3 linked regions of the Astyanax mexicanus genome follow. The protein of the gene in region 1 interacts with the protein of each later gene in a pairwise test. Links are inferred from orthologs where the notes say so. Each region holds a gene or a part of one and is shown in the gene's direction. Other genes may lie near its edges.

Evidence for each region.
Region 2: the proteins of E3 ubiquitin-protein ligase XIAP (region 1) and afadin- and alpha-actinin-binding protein interact in binary tests that used the Homo sapiens proteins (3 or more experiments, as listed by UniProt). The two-hybrid records come from large-scale screens. The link is inferred for Astyanax mexicanus from reciprocal best matches to the Homo sapiens genes XIAP and SSX2IP.
Region 3: the proteins of E3 ubiquitin-protein ligase XIAP (region 1) and casp10 interact in binary tests that used the Homo sapiens proteins (3 or more experiments, as listed by UniProt). The two-hybrid records come from large-scale screens. The link is inferred for Astyanax mexicanus from reciprocal best matches to the Homo sapiens genes XIAP and CASP10.

Annotation. Positions count from the first base shown.
Region 1 is NC_064417.1:41,604,737-41,612,700, forward strand, and holds the start of E3 ubiquitin-protein ligase XIAP, read left to right. Parts: upstream 1-4,902; 5' UTR 4,903-5,041; intron 5,042-7,964. Other genes in the region: E3 ubiquitin-protein ligase XIAP-like, read left to right, coding at 1,301-1,793, 2,240-2,430.
Region 2 is NC_064423.1:20,581,797-20,589,136, reverse strand, and holds the start of afadin- and alpha-actinin-binding protein, read left to right. Parts: upstream 1-4,183; 5' UTR 4,184-4,412; intron 4,413-6,352; 5' UTR 6,353-6,430; coding exon 6,431-6,449; intron 6,450-7,255; coding exon 7,256-7,340. Other genes in the region: atrial natriuretic peptide receptor 2, read left to right, coding at 606-704, 1,692-1,783, 2,476-2,583. UniProt on the Homo sapiens protein: Belongs to an adhesion system, which plays a role in the organization of homotypic, interneuronal and heterotypic cell-cell adherens junctions (AJs).
Region 3 is NC_064418.1:32,517,967-32,524,962, reverse strand, and holds the start of casp10 (caspase-8), read left to right. Parts: upstream 1-3,839; 5' UTR 3,840-4,063; coding exon 4,064-4,075; intron 4,076-6,622; coding exon 6,623-6,706; intron 6,707-6,996. Other genes in the region: protein FAM237A, read left to right, coding at 1,499-1,653. UniProt on the Homo sapiens protein: Involved in the activation cascade of caspases responsible for apoptosis execution. Recruited to both Fas- and TNFR-1 receptors in a FADD dependent manner. May participate in the granzyme B apoptotic pathways.

The DNA of each region.
Region 1 (7,964 bases):
CTGCACATACTCTACATACAACTATGTATGGCATAACCAGGAAATAAACAACAATCAAACTCTGTATAAAGCTTTCCTGAAGCTGCTGCCAAAAGGAATTAAACAGGGGAATCCCACAAGGAAGTTAAATCTCAACCCCTGTAGACACCCACACAATGTTTATTAACAAAGTATCTTTCTATAAATGTTATTTATTATTACTTTGTTTTATTAAGTGATTCATTTCAAATAATTTGTTAACGATTGTGCAGTTCGTGGGTCCATGTGCCATGAAGCGCTTTAAGTTGGTTTGTGGTCTCTGTTTTTCTCTTTTAACTGATTTATTTCTGCACATCTATTTTATGATGATTCAAATTTATGATTTTATATGTTTGGTTTGTACTAAACATTATTTACAGTAAATATGTATCTTCTTATGGCCTGTACTGTGTTCTTGCAGAGTAGAAAGTTGCAGAGTTAAATAATAATAATTATTAATATTAATATTATTATTTGTGGGAAGTACCATTCTCCTAAAAGTGAATATTGAGTGAATATTTAGAGAACAAATCATTCAAAACCTTTAAATAAATTTTGATTCAATGTCAGAATTGCAACATTAACCGATTACTATTAGGCATAGTTAAAAAATATTGTTTTATGGTTGTTGTTTTTTTATTATGTTTATTTAATGTTCTTTGCTATTAGGGTCTGACCCAGTCACCTAACCATCACAATTGGGCCTGTCAGAGTCATTTGGATCTTCACACAGTACACCCACTGCCTAATACTGTATATATACCCTTCATCTTTTACTTTTACGAGTACTATTGTTATGTTTTCAATACACATGTAACACGGTTCAAAGACATAAAACACAAAAAATAGTAATTTTGATTGTTTTACATGGGCAATTCTTGAATTGCTGTGGAAGCATGAATTTTTCATTATTAATTGTCAGAAAAAAAGACAGAGGCCGTTTCTATCAGACCATCCCAGTAAACACTTCTTCTGATTGTCAGACAAAGCATGTGGGTGTTCCCATGGGGCGTCACTTTCTCTTTCTTATTATTTAGCTAGAGCTTTAACAACAGTGCATTCATTAGAGCAGAGGAAGTGGTTTTATATATATCTGACGGATCTCCAGAAGGTATGTTAATGCAAAAAAAATCTAAATGCCTATTTCAGTTTTCAAAATTACTAGTTTAATAAATTAGTAAATTCAACTATGTTACCTTTTATTCGGGATGTGAATGGGTTGTATGTTTTAACAACCAATTTAGTGCTATCTGTTTCTCTTATTTAGACACACACTGTGACAATGGCTGATTTCAACACTGCTGGCACACTCGAAACCCATGATGGATCACAGGACTTGTCCTGTTTTAATAGTAGGAGGAACCTCATAGGTGATCATTCCTCTAAGGCCAGCAGTTCCAATCAAGAGGCGAAAGCCATCAGACTCCACAAAGGAGAGATTGTGAATGAGTCCCCCTACCCGAAAGTGCCACACATGAGGAGTGAAGAAGCCCGGCTGAGGACGTTCAGCAACTGGCCCTCCTCGTCCCCGGTCCAGCCCAATGACTTGGTGGGGGCTGGGCTGTTTTATGTGCCTAAACCAACCATAAATGACCTGGTGCAGTGCTTCTGCTGTGGAGGCATACTGAAAGCCTGGAAGGAAGGTGATGTTCCCTGGAGTGAACATTCCAAGTTCAACCCAAACTGCTTCTTTATCTTGGGGCATGATGTGGGGAACATACTGATGGAGCTGAAGAGTGATAGCAGTAAAAATGTATTCTCAAATAAAGAGAGAGGTAAGAAGATTTGAAATGCACATATTACAAATAATGAGCATAATCAGCATAATGTAAAGTCTTTGTCCAGTTTGTCCAACTGTGCCAGGGCATAGGGCACAATACACAATATATAATTTCAGCAATTTTTGCAGCTTGATATTAAAGTAAAATGCACACTGTTCTAATTTTCTATGACAGACTTGTATTATTATTGTGAAACCAGAACACAATTGTTTTAAGAGTATTTGCAATAGGATAAACATGAATTTAGGACAATAATGCTCAGGCATGGTACAGGGCAACCAGGTTTAGTGTGAGTACACCTTAGGTTTTTTAATATGTTGTTGCCGTGCATTTTTATATGATTTTTCTATGAAGTGATGTTATTTGTAAATTATCTTTAGAAAGGTTATACTGTCTCATGTTCTTTTGTAAACAGTGTTTTTTTTCCTTATGTGTTGCAGATGAGGACCCTTTAAAGACACTGGAGAAGCTCCAGCGTGAAAAGCTCTGCAAAGTTTGCATGGATAATGACCGTTCCATTGCCTTCATCCCATGTGGGCACTTGGTCACCTGCAGAAAATGTTCCAATTCTGTTGAAAAGTGCCCTGTGTGTTGTGCTTTCATCACTCAGAAAATCAAAACCTATAGCTAAGATTCCACTTTGACACAAAAACTATTATGATGTGAATCATTAACAAGTATTCCTTACAATTGTGCATATGGATATATTTGGATATAATACTTGTATAATTATATATATAAATAATTATGTGGTTTTATATTTTATTCTGCTAATTTTGCTACTTTATTGTCAGCCCACATAAACATAAGTCTTTAGTTTTCTGCTGTTCTGAGAGATGTGTAGTGTGTCGTCAGTGGGTAGTTTATGCTAGATTTTACAGGCAGATTAAAGTATTTGTAGGTAGGTAGATTTCTGTTGGCCTGATTTCAGAGCATGGCTACCCACACAATGATGAAATGGCATACTCTACATAAAACTATGAATGTTGTTTCCAGAAAATAAACTGCAATCAAACTTTAGCTTTCCTGAAGCTGCTGTAAAAGGGATTTGAATCACATTACAGGGAGTGTATATTTTGAGCACAAGAAAGTTTATTCTGTAGACACCTGTAGACACCTAGGCTGTGTTTATTGACATAGTCATATTAATCATATTAACACATTTAATCACTTTGTTTTATTAAATGATTTATTTGAAACACTGTGTTTTTGTACTAATAAAATAGGGTTTTGTAAATAGGAGCTGGGGTTATTTGTTTGGGTTAGCCTATTTCTCTCTTTTTACTGCTTTTTTCTTTTTCTAACACTTCCATTTAACCACAATATGTATATTAAACCGTCTATGTCAAAGGTACACCTGAAACATCTGTGGAAGCATGAGTTTATCATTATGACTTTTGCATATTAACATAATTTTTTTTTTCTCATTTGTTTTTTTTTTCTTTTGTATAGAGGGCACATGACTGTAATATTTTAAGTTTAAAATCCAATAAATCCATCACTTGTGTTATAAAACTGTGTCTGTGAAACATTTTATTTAGCATTTAAGGGTGATTTCACACCTACTTTCTACTGACTTTCAGACTTTTCAGTTTACAACCAAGCTCTGGATATACTGAACTATGGTCCAGTTCATCTGCAGTGTGAAAACACTTTTCTAAATGGTTCAACCTTTTAGATCAATTACAGGAAGTTGGTGTTGTGCCGACTCCACTTGGCATTCAGCCATGCAGTATGGACACTGTTTTACTTCCATAATGCAGCAGTATGGACACAAACGCAAACAGAAATATATAGATTTTTTTGCTATTTACAGTGAAACTTTAAAGGGGTATATTTTGTAGAATATGTTACATTTAAAGTTTATACACATGCTACTATACTTCACGTACGTGAATCCAAAGGACTACAGGACTCTTTTTTTCTTTTTCTTATTTTATTAGACCCTCAAGGATTCAAGGATTCAGTAAGACTTTATTGTCATTCGCATCACGTGGTACATGAGGTGGAACAGAAATGTTATCTCACAGCTCAGTTCCACCCAAAAGAGCAATTGTAATGTAGATAAAATAAAATAAGAATAAAATATTTAATTGAAATAGATAGCAAGATAACTACACATAACATAAAGGGAAGTAGCAGCAGCATAAAACAAGTGCAAGTACTTAAGGCTTGATAAAGTGTAACAGTACTCTTTAATCCTTGTTCTGTGACATGACATATATATCTCATATATTTGTATGTTCTTTCAACAATAAAATAAAATGTCTGTTTTTTTTGGATATTTTATTTAGTTTTAGTTTGAACATAAAACACAACTAATACAATACTAAAAAAAATGTAAATAAAAGAAATTGACATTTTTTCTGATAGGACATACAGTATAATATATTTATACATATACATATAGTATAAATACAATTAATACAAATATGGTTAACCTAGTGTACAACTAACATATATATAGTCAACGATAAAATTTAAAGAGATCTTACATCACCATAAATCAATGGGTCTTTTCAAATGAGTCTTTTTTAATATAGTCAAAGAAGGGCTGCCATACCAAAATATTTCCAATTTGTTTCTTAAATGGTAGGTGATCTTTTCTAGGGGTATACAAAGGTTAATTTCAGAAATACATATATTTTAACAAGATTTCAGTGAGCCTTATGGTGCAACTTTTTTTTTTAATTACCCAATAGTCAAACTTCTGAACCTATTGGAAAAAAGATACCAAGAATCTCAGATAACATATTACAAATTTTCTGCCAGAAGTCATGTACTTTAGGGCATGACTATGTACAGTGAGGGAAAATACCATCAGTAACACCACATCTGTAAGAAAGGGGGGGACACCTTTGAATTTAAAGTGTGCAGCTTAATTGGAGTATAATAAAGTTGGTGTAGGAAATTAGATCGAATCAGTCTTAAGCTTGTGGTAGATGTGATCCCTATAAGATCTCTATAAAGATCTTCACACAAATTTTGATCTATAGCCAAACCCAGTTCTTTTTCCCATTTAGTTTTGTATCTATAAAAAAGGTCTGCTTTAGTGTGAGAGACACACACTAGTCACTATGGTCCATAAAATCGTGTGGGCGTGGCTAATTGTTCCTTCCGCTTTTCTGTAGCTAGCTGGTGGCAGTATAAGAGCAGGATAGAGGAAGGGAGGCAGTCTGTCTGAAAGTTAAACCTTGTGAACGGCAGAATAGGACTGGATTCATCTGACTGGTCTCCTGAAGGTACGTTGACACTAAAACGGTTGCTTTAGTGACTTTAAATGCCGCTAAATCGTTTACGCTAGTTCTAGCTTAGCTAAACTAGCTTAACGTTAGTAGCTAGCTAACACAGCTGCTACAACAACACTGCAGACAGACCGAAGGTCGAAACTCCGTGTCTCTGGTGATTAATCGATCACAACTCGAACAGTTTTGCTTTTTAGGTTCACAGGCAGAAAACAGGGTGGTTTATCTTGCTAATTAAGCTCCGTTTAAGGTCAGCTGCTCTTTGTTGCTGCAGTCTAGCAGGTCTCTTAGTATCCTAACGTAACTAGCTAGCTAACGCTAGGTTAGCTGTGTCAACCAAGGGTGTTTTTGTCATGGTGTCACCTCTAGAGCTAGCTAATCTGGTTACATAGTAGTAACTTAGTAGTAGTAGTAGTAGTAGTAGTAGTAGTAGTAGTAGTAATAATAAAGATATTTAGCGAATGTGTTTAATAATGTGAATATGTGAATGTGAAGTTCTACCCATGGTGGTAATGACAGGTGGTAGCGAGCTAACTATCCTACGAGCGAGCGAGCGAGTGAGTGGGGAAAAGTCCAGAAAAGTCATTGTAGACCGCAAACTGGAAAGCGAACTAGGTGCGTCCCCAATTGCTTAGTTGTGGGTTTGTTTAATGTTAATTTATAGCTCTACGTTTGGAAATTACTGGACTGATTTCCCCCCAAAATTCTGTACATGAATGGTGGGTAAGATGGTCCTAAAACATTATCACGATACTTCAGGGTATTTGCGCAATAACCATAATTTTAATGATATGACAAGGGAATTAAAAAAAAAAAAAAAAAAATATATATATATATATATATATATATATATATATATATATATATATATATATATATATATATATATATATATATATATGTAATAAATTAATGTTCAACAATATACTACTGCAACAATATACATGAAAAGTTTTAAACCTTCAACAAATCTGTAACTATTCTCCATTATGTAACAGTAACTTTCCAAGATTTTGAATATTCTTAATGTAACAAACAGTAACACAAGTAACAAAAAAAACTACCAAATACTAAAGTGCAGATTATTTAGTGCGTGTATAAATTTTGAATGTAAACTATCATACAGAATATACCACTATAAAGTTGCACTGTAAATAGCAAAAAACTCAAAACAAAACAACAACAGAAGAATAGCACTATTATCACAATATGAATTGATAGGGATTTTTAAAATTTATTTAAAAAAAGATACAAGATATGGCAAAAACCGACTAAAACTTCTATATAACTGCTAGCTAAATAATTTTGTGAATGTTCCAGTTTTATTATTCATTAAATACATCACTTGCTTCTGTCCAATAAACAAATGTGTATCTTCATTTGAACCATGTAGCTGCTGTGTATACTGTGTAAATATTTCTGAATGAATGGACTACTAGAAATGCTTTAAAATTACTCATTTTACATTAACTTTCATTTAGAGTTAAGGACATTTTTGGCCTTTCCTGTAAAATCACAATTTAGGAGAGACAGGTTTCACAATTTAGGAGGGACATTCATAGCTATTAACACATCTGATGTAAAATGATTTTTAGTGTTTTTGTAATGCACAGCTAAAGAAATAGTCTGTTCTATAATACACAGCTCTTTTGGGTTTTGTGAGCCTGTGCAGAACAGGGCGGGTTCTGGTAGCTTTGATAGAAATGCATAGAAAAGGATTACAATAAGAATTACAATACAGTAGATTGAAAGGCCACACCTGTGTTTAAGAGTGCTAGATCTTATTGTTAAGCTGTTACTCAACATCTGTCCATCAATCACTTGGATGGCCTGATGGTATCGGTTTATTACCTCACTATGCAGATAGTGATGCTGGTGCTATGTACAGTATGTAGCACCGGTATGTTATCAATTTTTGCTTCGCCTCATGGTTGAGAGTGGGCGAAGCATATTAAAGTTAATAAGTGTGGGTGTAAACGTTTCCTGTGCTGTTCTAGAACTCTTAGCACATGCTGAGGGTGAGGCGTGCCTGTGACCATATACTTCTCCAGGATTTAAGTAATATCCCTGAATAATATGTGTTTAGACTTAAGAAGCCTGAACTTATGTTTGATTCAGTGTATCTATTGGTGAAAGCAATATTTTTGCCATAAAGCTACAGTTAGGGCCATATACCTTCATTACTGTAAAATGATAAAATTCCCATACTAAAATTGAAAGTTATGTTTTGGGGCAGGAAATTCCTCCCAAAATGAATGCACAATACACTACATAAAAAGGCCACACCCTTGTTTGAGGGTGCTGGATTATAATTGCTAGGCTGTTACTCCACATCTCTCATTTCAAACAGGCTAAAGGTGCTGGTTGGTTACGCAACATCACTATGCAGATAGTGATCCTTGTGTAAAATATATGGTATGAAACACCCTTCTATTTTTTTAATGGCATCACATATGAAATTAACTAGCCTAACTGTTTGGATGTAATCCTGTGTCAGATTTAATGCGTCTTTTGCTGAAAGCACAATTTATTTATTTTTTTTGCCTTAAAGCTACACCTTTGGCGATGTCTTTACTGTAAAATGTGGAACTTTCCCTACTGAAATTGAAAGTAAAATTTTACTGTTAAATATGACTTCATTGCTAGATTGAAACCTCACTTTGTAGCTGTAACCAGGGAATGCCCCTCTTGCTGCACATTTTGTTCAATCTTCATAACGAAAAAGAAACTTATAATAAATGTATACAAAACATGCCAAAAATTTAGTTAAATTACCTCCAGGATATCTGTGTGGGGCCTTTTACATAGAATGTGGTTTTGATATCGTCCAGAGTCTGTCTGTCTTGCGTGCGTTGTCAGAAGCCATAGATCACAATTATTACCACCCACTAGGGGTGGGCGATATGGCCCTAAAATAATA
Region 2 (7,340 bases), on another chromosome or scaffold:
AAGTATCAATTGGTCTTTTATAATATTCTAATTTTCTGAGATGCACCTGTATAACTGTTATCCAAAGCTTACCAGTTTTGGCAATTTTACTGCCACTACTTCAAGAGAAATGCTGGATGCACCAAGTGGTGCATCCCCAGTTTTTGTGGCAAAGCAAGAACGCATGAAATGTGTTCTTGATTATTGGAACACAACTTGGGCACTGGAAGGGAAGGTCAGACTAGAAACAGGACACCTAGAAGAGGTGTGTTTGAGTATGGAAATACAAAACGTCTCCACGACTGACTTTGGGACCAGTGAAGCAGAGGATGCCTTGTAAATTGGCTAACAATTGTCAATATTTTTTAAAGAAAGATACAAATTAATAGCTGGTTTCTTTACATACAGAGCTATAGTCACAATACTGTTCAAATGACTTTTCTGCTACTTGCCTCATTTTTTCTGACAAATTTACTCTGCATTATGAGGATGCATTATGATCCTCTGCAACTCAGGATGTAAAACTAGTTTTACGTTTGTTTGTCTTATCTGTTGCAAGGCAGAAAAATGTATTTACTTTGACTCATGGTATATAAGGCAATGTTTGTGTCTGGTGGCTGGTTTAGGTCCTGTGGTGGCTGGAGTGGTCGGCACTAAAATGCCACGTTACTGTTTGTTTGGAGACACTGTGAACACAGCATCCCGCATGGAGTCTACCAGTGAAGGTACGTGAGTGAAGGGTGGCCTGTAAACACTAGGTTAATGATCAGCTCAGATGACTGCTGCTATGTTTGCCTTTGATAAGAAATGGTTTTGGAGACAGAATGACGGCATTAAATGAGGTTTACTTATTTGGTCACATCAAATACTGTCAATGACATTTACCAAGCCCTTGATAGTATATGTGTAATGCTTTTAATTGCACGTGACCACAAGATATTCTCAATAATATTAGTAACCTTGTTTTTGTGTTAGTTCCATTCCATTACATTTACAGTACTGTACAAAAGTCAGGCAAATATTCATATTGAATTTTACAGTCAAAAGTTCATATTCTTAAGGGAATTAGATATAAGCCATCTGTTTGCAAGGATAGTAGAATTCAAAAGAAAACCATTTAAAATGGGACTCCTAACAACCATGCAAGACCTGGTATCAATCTCCATCAAACAGCACTGAAAGCTTTCATCACTAGACAGAGAGACAGAGGAGGAAAACAAGCTCCACTTTCGCTTCTGATCTGAAAACATCCACAGGTGTTTCTATTCGTTGCTCAATTGTGAGAAGATGAAAGTATGTGGAGTTGACCAAGAAGGTCAAAGTGATAAAAACAAACAGACAAAAGAGAATAAGAACAATTGAAGTCCTCAGAGCAATGGATTGACCATCCAGGAGTCCAGACCTTGACATTATTAAATATGTTTGGGAAGCACAAAATGCAACAACTTCTGTAACTGATTTTTGTTTTTTGATTTTCTGATTTTGATTTTTGATTTTCTGCTGCTGCAATAAACCTAAAGTGTGGACACGATAAATTTAACTTATATTTTGAAAGGCTTATCTGTAATTTCTTTAATTAAAAAACAAAATGTGGTCTTTCTACATGGCATTATACATTATCCTAAATATATATTTGGTACTTGCTTAAGTGGAACATAGCACCTAATGTTTTACAGTATTACAATTTTAAATGCCATATTATCTTCTGGCAGCTTTAAAGATTCAGTGCAGTGAATCCACAGCTGATCTCCTCCACACTCTTGGGGGATACGTTCTGCTCTGTCGTGGCAGTCTAAATGTGAAGGTAAGATTGCTTACATCATTTGCAAACAGTGAAAGTGAAACTTAATTTAAGACATTATGTGCTACTAAAAGCAATGGAGCAAATATTTACAAATGTTACACTACATTACAGTTACTAGGATTGTTTGAGAATAGATGCACATAATTTTTTTAGGATTCCTTTTTGGGATCATTTTTGGGGCAGGATTTTGTAGCTGACTCACTGTGGTTGCTATAGATAACTGACCTTTTCTCATGGAATGCGCCCTTTCAGAGATTGACAAGATAATTTACATGGTAACCCCTTTTAAACCTCACAGCCTTTACGTAAAATGTTGCGCATAAATTATGCAGCTATTCACTATGCCCTTACTATGTATACAAGTAACTGAGTAAAAAAAAACATTCTCAAAATGTATCATAATTATTTTCAGCTGATCTCCCTGCATATCCTAGAAATTAATTGATTGTCCAGTAGAGAACATACGAAAGATGACAAGGGTCCCAAGAGAGAATGCTGTTGGGCCTAGCACAGCTGTGCTATGTCTCAATTAGAGCTTGGTCTCAGCTGGCTTCTGGACAGTGTCTTCTACCTCCTCATTCATTATTCAGAGACAAATAGAATCCCCCTCTCTGAATTTTAATGGCGATGTTCACGAACAGAGACACGACAAGGGAAGATTTACTGCTTGTCTGTAACCGTTTGTCTTACAGGGCAAAGGTGAGATGACAACTTGGTGGCTGGAGACTAAAAAAAGCCCTATGGATCATTTCCTTCAAGATGAAGAGCCACAGTGTGGTCCTGTCCCAGTTAGCAGCTAACACCACTGTCTAGAGAATATGCCTACCTTCCTGTCCTGATCGTTGTATTGATAAGTGTATCATGCAAAATGAAATCTAACATCGCAACATTGGCAAAATAATTGCTTTTTCGGACGCTATTCATTCTGTGATGTGGCATAAATTATTGTGCATTTGTATTTATTATGCTTTTATTGTTACCTTCTGAAATTATGCATAGCTCAAGATTAATCACTCCAGGATTTCAAGACTTGCTGATGTAATTTGTAAATATCTGTGTTTAATAATTAATAAACTGTGTATTATGTGAATTCCGTTTTACGAATAACAGAGAATTAAATAACATTAAATGCATTTAGATTTTTGACTCATAAAAGCCTGACACATTAATTCAATTTATCGGTCTATTACTTAAGCTTTGTGTTACATACAATAACATACACACAAAAGGCCAAAATGTATCCAGATTCCACCTCTAATGATTGAATTCAGCTACTATTCCTGACAAATAGGTTCAGCTTGTATATTATCCATTAAAACGCTCTGTCTGTGGAATAGGATGCCTAAGGTCAGAAAGGTGTCAGTTAGACAGGGGTAAAACCCACCAGCATTGGACTGTGGGGCAGTGCAGCTACATTCTCTGGACTGTTGAAACTTCATTCAATCCATTTGGGATGATTCAGAGTTAAGTTTATGATTCAGAAAGTTTGCAATCAAATCCTCTCCCTGCTGTTAAACTGAAAAATCTTGTCCGATGAGCGGTGTACAATTTACATTTCTATCAATATTTGTATATATTTAGCAATAACGTTTTATTATTTTCTATTATTATAACTACTTTTTTAAAAATAGTATTATATGAATTCATATGATATACCTGTGTATAAACTTGCCCATCTCAGGCTATTTTTTTAAAAAGATTTATTTATAATTTATTTCTAGTTCCCATTTTCTCCCCTATTTAGCTAGGCTGATTGTCCCACCCATTTAGCTGCTAATCAGCTGTATATTCCTCATCACCAGTGATGCCACAACACAAGGTGCCTGAAGACTAGCACATGCCTCCGTTCTCCGTAAGCCACTGGCTCTTTTTGAACTGATGTTGCATTTCGAACAGCTGCTGATGTAGCATTGCCAAAAAGCATCATAGCGTGCCCAGAGAAAATCTCTGGAAAAAAATAAGAGACCACTTGAAAGGTATGAGTTTCTTTGATTTTTTTTCTTTGAATGCTCTTAATGACAATATTTGTATTTGGAATCAGGGAGAAATGTTGTCTGTAGTTTATACATATAAAACATTTTACTTAAACATATACCTATAAATAGCAAAATCAGAGGAACTTATTTAGAAACTGAGGTAGTCTCTTATTTTTTTCCAGAACTGTATATGTTAAATAATATATGAAAATATTCATATATATTTTGTTAATCAATCATTGACTATACACTTTATTATAGACACATTGCACTGATTTATTACAGATTTATATTTATATATTCTGTATACAAAGCCTTTTTTGCCATCCAAAGCCCGCATCGAAGCTCATTGGTTGACGCTTGGGTTATACGAGGTAAGCGGCCAATCAGGTGGCCGCTGTTCGTTGCCTGACAACGCAATGCTTGTCGCTGCTTGTCCTCGTTTTGCAGCTGAAACTGGCACTCTGTAGAAGAGCCAGAACTGCAGCACCTCCAGCTGGAGCTACAGATACAGTTTAATGTTATTACCGGGTACAAAATCAGCACAGCGTTTAAAGGCGGTTCACCATTTTTCTAAGGCGTTTCTTTAAAACCTCTGTCGACGTGGAATACCCCAGATGCCCTGGTGATGCTCTTCGTTGCTAAAAAGACAAGTAAGTGAGCCTCGTCCTCTCAGCCAGGCACGGATTTATATGTAGCTGCGCATGTGTCCTGAATGTAGCCGTGAGTGTGCTCAGATTATACAGTTAAACATGCTTAAAAGAGTACCACGCACAACCTGACAGTTCCTGTAGCCTCGTTCACTGGATTCTGGACACATATTTACTGCCGGTTTTAGCGCAGTCAGTCTGAAGAGATGGCCAGGTCTCATAACATTTAGCCTGCTACTACAACCAGTTGGATAACGGTACTATTAGCGCTTGATTATATTTTGAACTATATGTACAAACGTTACAGTAATCGTTATAAACGTGTTATTTGTGCTGATGTCATTCATATATTATAGGCCTGCTTTAGTTAGACTGATTATACAGCTCTGTAAAAAATGATGAGTTTCCTCTGGAAATATAATCTAGAGGAAGATGGATGATCACAAGCCAAATCAAGCTGAACTGCATATATTTTTGCACCAGGAGTGGCATGAAGTTATCCAAAAGCAGTGTGTAAGACTGGTGAAGTAGAACATGCCAAAATGCATAAAACTGTAATTAAAACCAGTTTTTTTCCACCAAATATTGATGTCTGAACTCCTAAAACTTTATTAATATGAACTTGTTTTCTTTACAAGTCTGAAAGCTCTGCATCTTTTTTTGTTATTTCAGCCATTTCTCATTTTCTACAAATAAATGCTCTAAATGACTATTTTATTTAGAATTTGGAAAAAATGTTGCCCATAGTTTATAGAATAAAACAACAATGTTTATTTGAATCAAACATATACCTATAAATAACAAAGTCATAGAAACTGATTCAGAAACTTAAGTGGTCTTTTATTTTTTTCCAGAGCTGTATGTTACTGTAAAGCAAGTGTTATAGTTAAATACTAGGGGTTGGCGATATGTACCTAAAATAATATAACAATATTTCAGGGTATTTTTTGCGATAATGATATACAACATTAAATACAAAAATAAAGATAAATAAAAAAACATGCTGCAACAAAATATGAATGATAAGATACATGTAATATGCCACTCCCCTAACTAAGATTTTTACAACATTGTAACATTGTAAGTCATTTGTCCAACATCCTATTTATCCAGGATTGAAGTAAAATAAAAGATACTGGAAAGATACACTGCCAAAAAAAGTTAGACCTGACCAACTGCTGCAACCCCAGATCATTTACTTAGTTAAATCTAGGTGGCAACTTTTTTTGGCCAGGCAGTGTATAATCTGTTTCTAATAGATATTTAAAGGTAAATGAGAAGAGTGTGATCACAATATTTCAGGGTGTTTTTGTGCTACCAGTATTTAAGATTGTTGGTGAAATTCTTGCATACGATAGGATATGGCAAACCCATTTTAAATACATTTGGCGGGTGTGTGATGGAATTCATCTGCCGGCTGCAACTAAGCTTTGTTCTTCAAACTAGCTCTCAAATGATTAATTACTTTCTTCAAAATGAAGCATCCTTCCAAGCATCAAAGAATGTTAAAGACGTCCCCAGTATACTAAAATTGCATCATGGGAACTACAGCTAGGGTAAAGCCTGCAAAAGTATGAAAAATAACAGTGTTCTGCACATGTCTACTATGTATACTATTTTTTCAACATGGCTGAATATATGAAAAACATGCTTTTAGAACACTTGGTTCAGAATTTGATATAATTAGTCTGACTAAAGTAGGCCTATGTAGGTTCCTTAAAGTATGTACAGACAGTTATACAATAACAAATTCAGGATAAACTCTTTTTAATATCCTTGGTTTCAGAGGAAAAAATAACTTTTGTCCTGTTAGTGCATGTATGTATGTATGTATTATTATACATTATTAAGATTGTGGAATTATGTTAGATTGCTGGATTTATGTTAGCAATGGAGTGATGGAGTAACGTGAAAAGCCCTGCTAACATGCTCTTTGTTTTCAGGGTACCTGTGCAGGTGTTTGCCGCTAAATAACTAATCCACACAGTATTAGCTCCTTGGATATATGGAAGCCTGGAAAGATGCCAGAGTCATCATATGGTGAAACTGTTTTATAATATATGTAATACTATGATTTGTATGAAAGTATTATGCTTAAAAACATATTTAATTATTTCACAGAAGCACAGTATTAACTGCACTTATTAAAATGGCACTTTGAGGATTCTTTAGTAAAGGAAATAATTACTAGGTTAATATAGGTAAAAATAGGTTATTAATAGGTTAATCGTTTGAGCGAGGGTCCACAGCATTATCTGTGTACCAGGAATATGTCCTATAAGACATGACTACTCACAGTGGATAATGGGTTAAAATGATCCAAATCGCATCAACAATTAACACAGAAGGCTCTGAATATCCTGCTGCTTAAATCAGCATTCTTTAGCTTCCATGAGGCATGGCAAAAGTTTTAAAACACTTCATAGGTAAATGGTAAGATTAAAGATATGAATGAGTTGATTTGTGTATATTTTTAAACTCATTGTTTTATGCCAGAGCTTCATACTGACATTCCATACAGTGTATGTATGACTCTTTTGCTCTACATAGACATAGTCTCATGTGTAAAGGGAATAAATTAAGGAACCAGAAATAACACTGGAGTACTATTTTAAGTTCATGTGTCTCTACTAACCTCGATAAAACTTAGCATGCTCATTGTCATCTTTGTCATGATATTTACCCCCACACAAAACCATGACTAAGACTGTATTTTTACCAAGCAAAATAATTCCAGAATTGTTTGTACCACAGTTATTTCTGTTTTTTTTTGTGTGTTTCACAGACACTTCCTTTGGAACATACTAAGAATTATATAAAAGTTTCTTTGATTATTTCTCCTACAGAAGACATCAGCACCATTTACTGTTACTCTACAATGCCTCCCTCAAGGCAGTACAGCCATTCCACAATGCCTCTTCTGCCTGTTAG
Region 3 (6,996 bases), on another chromosome or scaffold:
TCATTAACATCAGAACACACCTTTACTGCACTCCAGCTGTCCCCCCATACAATTCTATGTATTTGTTTTTGTATGTTTTTAAACGCACTCTACATGTTTTAAATGTAGTATCTGCTGGCAGAATGTGAGTTCTTCTGGAATCTTGGAACACATACTCATATGCACCTGCACAGTTAATGTGCCAGTGCTCATTTAACACTATAGAGAATTTGCATTGTGTGACACTGATGAGTTTTGCTACACTTGTATACCTTTTGTTGGTGTTTTTTTTACCCTTTCTGTTGCCTGGACCTACAATTTGTAGACACTGCAGACTAAATTAGAGGGTCAATTAACCTTTTCAGCTAAAACTTTTCTAGATGGGTCAATAAACCTAAAAGAAGATTTTTAACTGATCAAGGTTTTTCTTGACTGTGTTTACTTTAATAAACGTGTTGCTTTTGAAACAGAGAAGATTTAATGTGGAGAAGCAGATCAGGCACTGTTTTTTATATATCGGCAATTTACAAACCTATTGAAACAATTTAGATGGTGAATTAACACAATTCCGCTGATATCCACATAATTTTTTCCACAAGGAACTTTTGACTATGTTATGTGTGGCAGGAAATTTACTCTTAGTAAATTTAAGTAGATATCTAGTGCACATTTCTAGCGAATCATACATTTACTAGAGGTGAAGTACAACTGGACTATTCAGTTGTAAAAACGAACAGTTCCCAGAAATACTAAAATGTACATAAAAGGTCATGCATGTAATGTTGTTGAATACATTGGTGTAATATGAAAGGGTTTAATATCTGTTAAAATACGTGTTGTATGCATGTCTACAGTGCACATCTCTACCAGACACTGAATACAATTAAGTAGTACAAGATCTTATGCATAGAAGATAACTGCTTGTAAATGTGTCATTATTCTCATTTTGCCAAAAATGTTGCAGTTATACAATTATTTTGTGATTTTCTCATCCAACCTGGCTTCTGAAAATATACCTTTGGATATGTAATGGCCAGAAAGCATTGTTCAAAACACAAACAGTTACTATTTAGTTTTCATAATAATATATCATATATAAATTTTGTCCAGAAACACAATTGGAATGTCAGCAAATCCTGGCTTTGAGAACTGGAACAGTCACGAGTCAGAGTGATCTTATTCTAAATCTGACATGTGTCATCCCTCTAAATGCGATAATTTTGTGACATTAAATGGTTACATGGTTCCAGTCATTATCTAATAGATTTTGAAATGCTGAAGTAATTCCCCATTACTCTTGTGTTCTGGCAGCACTGTGTTATGTTACACATAAATTTTTGGCCCAAATTGGACAGCACTACACTAAATTCTAATTTCTCACTTTCAGTAAAACAAAACCAACAAACTCCCAAATGCAAATGGAGCCACGTATGCCAACTTATTAATTATTTTAAATGGCTAGACGGTTATCCTCATGTCTGTTGCAATTTACACTGACTCTTTTTTGTTTTCCCACTAGAGTCGTTTGTGCAGGAGTCACAGAACCATTTCTCAAAGTTAAAGAAGTTCTCACGTGGCTGGTTCCGCATCCAAGTGCAACAGGTTGGACGAAATAATTTGCAGCATGGAGCCCATCCAAAATCCTTGAACATTAAAAAAGTTTCGAGTTTTTAATTACAGATCCTACCTTTTCTACATGAAGTCTACTTTTCTGATTAATAAAATCATTTGCATCATTTGCTGTTGATATTGTCTGTTTAATACTGTCTGTTGTCTGCAGTAGAAAAAAGAGTTTAAAGCTGAATTGTTTTGTTATTGATCATATTAAATATACTAAAAACAAACAGCTCAAACTGGCTCAAAATATTCATACACATAATATGCTTTCTTCTGGATGGTCAACTACCTTGACCATCAAATACCAGTTTACTAAAGAGCTACCGGCAAAAGATTCTTAAGCTGGCAATACTTTGTTTAAAGATATCAAAATACATTTAAAGATAAACATTCAAATAAATACAGTTGTAAGGCACAATATACAAAAATGTATAATACATAACATTCATTCAAAGTAAAATTCTGTATATAAATGAGTGTTGTGATATCATAAACAGTGACCATGACTCAAAAGTGACAACTTTTATAATGTTTTTTTCAATTATGTTTTAACTAATGTTTAAGATCATTTTTAATTTTTAAAATGAAAAGAACTGTAATTGCATAAAATAAACATGCTTTTGTGATCATGTGTGATTTTTGACCATTTCAGATAGGAACTAATAGTTTACAACATTTCAATAAAGGAGGCCCTGAGGATCTTAATTTTTGTGATAAATGTTTACTATTTTCACATAGTTTTACACAAATTCACTGAAGTTTGTAACAAATTAGGTAAAGGGTGCTTTTTTTATCTGTTTACATGCATGAGCACCTTACGCAGATCATTTGGTTAAAGTAATTGAACTCAAGATTCTTGGTGTACTATCAACAAGCCTAACAACAAGCAACATTTAGGTTTTATATATGGTCTATGGCCAAATCAACAATAATGACTGGAGTGTACCAATGTGTACCGGTAACTTTTTGAATGTGGAGAAACCACAACACTGGAAACCAAATTTTAGTTTCATTATAACAGCCAAAGCTCAGAAAATATAGATGAAACAATATTTTTTTATTTACTAGGTATATGTTTGAAAAAATATGGTCAAATATCTAAATTCTGTTAGTATTTGAAAATAACCTCAGGCTTGTGTGAGTGTCTTCTGTAATTTTTTTGTAATTTTAGGTGAATAAAGCTTAAAGCTGCAGCTATGAGACATTGGTTTAATGCTGTAAGATACGCAGTATTTACAGCCTCTGACTGATGTTCAGTACAGGGAGCTCTATTGAAAAAATTTATTCATTCATTTGCTCCTCAGCTAAAATTCTGGTGAATTGGACAGTTCAAAACATGTTGATGACGAATGTGATTAAATATGATTCATTTAGATTAATTAATCACAAGTCATGTAATTCATTGAAGTACTTTTAAGCATCTGACAGCACAATAAAAAATGCGCTACCACTGTCTTAAAACTGCTGGCGTGAATCTGCTGGCGTATATCCGCGGCTCTGCAGACAGATACTAATGGGAAAGTATCCTATATCCCTGTATATATATGAGAAAATCACTGTTCAAACACTAGAGGGAGTTCAAAATGTGGTGAGGTGAAGTGAATGGAGCTAAACGCCTAAAAACTTAAATTAAAAATAGTAACTATAACCATTTGACATGGATATTCTTTGGATATATTTTTGGAAAGTAGGATATGTAGAATGTTGCTAAAACAAGCAAAGAAAACATACCTTTATATTTAACAGGTTTTAGGCAGTCAATGTGCTACCTTTAGGCTAATCCTTCTGTGTGCTGACTAGAGGTGGGTAATCCAGGTCCAGAAGGTAAAAATCCAGTCCAAGGTTTTGTACCAACTGCATGGGCGGCCCTGGACCTGGGTTACCCACCTCTAGTCAGGCAGTTGGTACAAAACCCTGGTCTGGATTTTTACTGTCTGGAGCTGGGATACTCACCTCTAGTGCTGCCTGGTTGGTGAACTCAGCTGATGCTGGAATTACAGCCAGAACATTTTAAATGGTTTATAACTGGAGTTTTTAAACTTAAAAAATATATATTTGCCACTGAACCATGTGATATTGTGCTGTGGGAAATGGGTGCAATTTTCAGTATAGAAATTATCAAACATTTATAAACTGCTCAAATGCTCCATATGAATCTATTCATTTTGGACTCCAAGAAAATATCTTTAAAATGGGAATTCTCCTCTCTAGAAGTTCTATGATTGCGTGTTTAAGTTTAACTCCACCCTCTCCCCACCTTCCCTGCACAGTTTCGGTTTTACTCTCTGACATGAAAAACTTTCTGTGCGCAAGAAAACGTCTTTTTTTGTTCAGTCGAAATATTGCCATTCCAGTCAGCGTATTTTAGCTGATTATTCTCGCTGTTAGGTTGAATATGAACCATTACCCTCTCAGGGAATTTTCTCCTGTTTTCAGCTGAAGGTGTTCCCACAGGACTCCTCACAGCATGGAGGAACAGGTAAGTCGTTTTACTCGTCGGCTAAAAGTTAAACTTTATATATTTAATGGTGTAGTCTGTTGGGGAGCGAGGCAGAAGATATATTTGTTATATACAGACGTGAAAGAGACTCTGTCCGTGTCACAAGATACACTAGCTAACCTACCACACCCGGGCTGAACCCTACAGTTCTAGGAAATTTAGGTTAACTTACTTCCTTAAGTGAAGAAATGAGAGATTCTGCCGGAAGTGTCGAATAATAAAGAACAAATCCCTCTTTACCTTGCTTAGGTAGAAAGTTTGGTCATCTTTACTTTACTAAAGTAATACTTTTCAGACGACGTTTTACTTCAATATAAATTTTCACACAATTATGTGTATTTTATAATCCTTACATTTTCAAACAATTATCTGTACTTTTTTACTCTTTACATTTTCAAACAATTATCTTTAATTTCTACTCCTTACATTGTCACACAATTATCATTTCTTTCTAGTTTTTATATTTTCACACAATTATCTGTACTTTATACTCTATGCATTTTCCCACAATTATCTGTACTTTATACACCTTACATTAAAAAAATAGCCTTCTTTACTCTTATTTCAGTTCAGCTGTTTTTTATTGGTTTCAATAAAATTCTATTTAGATAAATCTCTCCATCTGGATAGATTGAATTTGATTGTGGTTGAATGAGAAGTATAAATATATACAACTCCCTATTGGTTTACATGTGATCCATATATTGTGGCAGAGACTCAAGAGAACTCAAGTGAAATGTTCCAACTAAGTTTCTTTAATATTTGCATTGGGTTCATTTTCAATGGGTATATATGCAGTAATCCAGATTTTCGACATTAACATTTTAGTATAACATTGTAGTCATTATGGTTTTTAGTAAAATGTGTTTTGGGAAGGGGGTAGTGCACTATAGGCTCCTGTGGCATGGCCTAATTGTTGTCTTTAATGGCATTTTTTCCTTGAATTACTTTTACTTTTATACTTATTCTAAGTAGTTTTAAAACCAGTACTTTTACACTTGTACTTAAGTAAAAGGCTTGAGTTGCTACTTCACCTTCTACATAAGTATATTTAAACCCTAGTATGTATAATTCTACCTAAGTAATGAATGTGAATATATTTCACACCTTTGAATAATTATTAAATAGACGTAGCATGTTGTTTAATCAATGAGAAGCTCAAATCCTGTCCTAATTAAGGTCAACCTGGTTTTACTTGGTTATATTTCACAGACAGGACTGTGACAATTACAGTCTATACTGCTACATAGTTTTGCTCTGTGGCGGTTTTGCCTAGGAAAACACTGGATGGCGCCACTGCTACCCATCCAGCGGCCTGGCTGATCCACATGGCAGCTTAACATTCGACATAAATCTCAGTTTTAGTAGTGAAGAGAAGACTTAAAGGCCTGAGAGGTGACTAACTAAAAATAGGGCTGTTCTAAAACTTTTGACTGACCGTGTATGTTACTAATTCAGTCAACATTCAGCACAAATATGCCCAAATAGCCTGTTAGTCAAGTCCAAAACAAACGTGTAAACTGCTACTTTTGAGTTATAAAACTAACAAACTGTACAGCTGTGAACTATACATTCCTGCAAAATCCTCAATTGGATAGGTCCCATTGCCTTTCACTGGTTTTGATGGCTGATTAGGAAACTACGATGAGCAGAAGGCCTGATAGCAAAGAACACTGAATAAACATATATTTTTTTGGTTGCAGTAGATCAGGGGTGTACAATTTTTTTTTGTTGTGGGCCAGAAGGAGAAATATATGTGCAGTCATGGACCACAGACTCAAAAATCAATAAAACAAATAATGAAATATACTACTTATAATAAAACATTTCCTTAATTACTATCATTTACACACCATTTTACTTGAGTTACTATCTTTATCTGTCTTAGACAGTGTTGTGTAAACTAAGATTTTTCAAATTAATGTTCTGGTTCATAATGTCTCTTAATATTATACTAGTAAAAAAATAGTAATTTTCCCAACATGCCTGAAATTTTCTGCATTTGCTGTCCATTTTTTCGTTTCTTTGGAGTTGTTAGACTCTTTGGCCCGTTTTCTATACTACAACCGTGCACTCTCTCCTCTTTTAGACTCTTTGGCCCGTTAACCTCGCTACAACTGATCACTCTTGCCGCTATCAGACTATTTGGCCTGTTTTCTGCACTACAACTGTGCATTCTCGCTGCTTTTAGACTCTTTGGTTCGTTTTCCGTGCCACAGGTGCGTATTCTCACCGCATATAGACTCTTTTTTCGCGCTACAACTGCGCACTCTCGCCGCTTTTAGACTCTTTGGCCTGTTTTCCACGCCACAAGAGTGCAGTCTCGCCGCATATAGACTCTTTGGTCCGTTTTCGGCGCTACAAGTGCGCATTCTCGCCGCATATAGACTCTTTAGTTATTTAAATATATATACATATATATGTATATATGTATATATATTATACTATATTTTATAATATGGCATAATCATAATTTTTGAATAAAAATGTCTTATATTCATTTATTATCTGTTTTTGTCTGATCAGGGTCACAGAGGGTGTGGGATCTACCCGGGGTCATTGGTTGCTAGGCAGGAATGTTCCTTGGATCAATCACCAGTTAATCCCAGGGTACCTCACTGTTTTCAATCAGACACACACACACACACACACAAACTTTCAATAAATGTTAGTCTAAATGCAACTCAAATAAACATAGCATGTTCAATGCAGATATTATTTATAGCTTAGTTATACAGTATAGTCTAGTAATGTATTTCAATAAAGACTAAACTAACAGGTATTTTCACTGGGATAAACAACAGCCCACTGTTTTGTTGCATAGCTATTCGTACAAGGTCCATGCATACTGGATACCACTGGTGCAATCTGAATTATGTCCACTCTGCAAAACTTTGTTT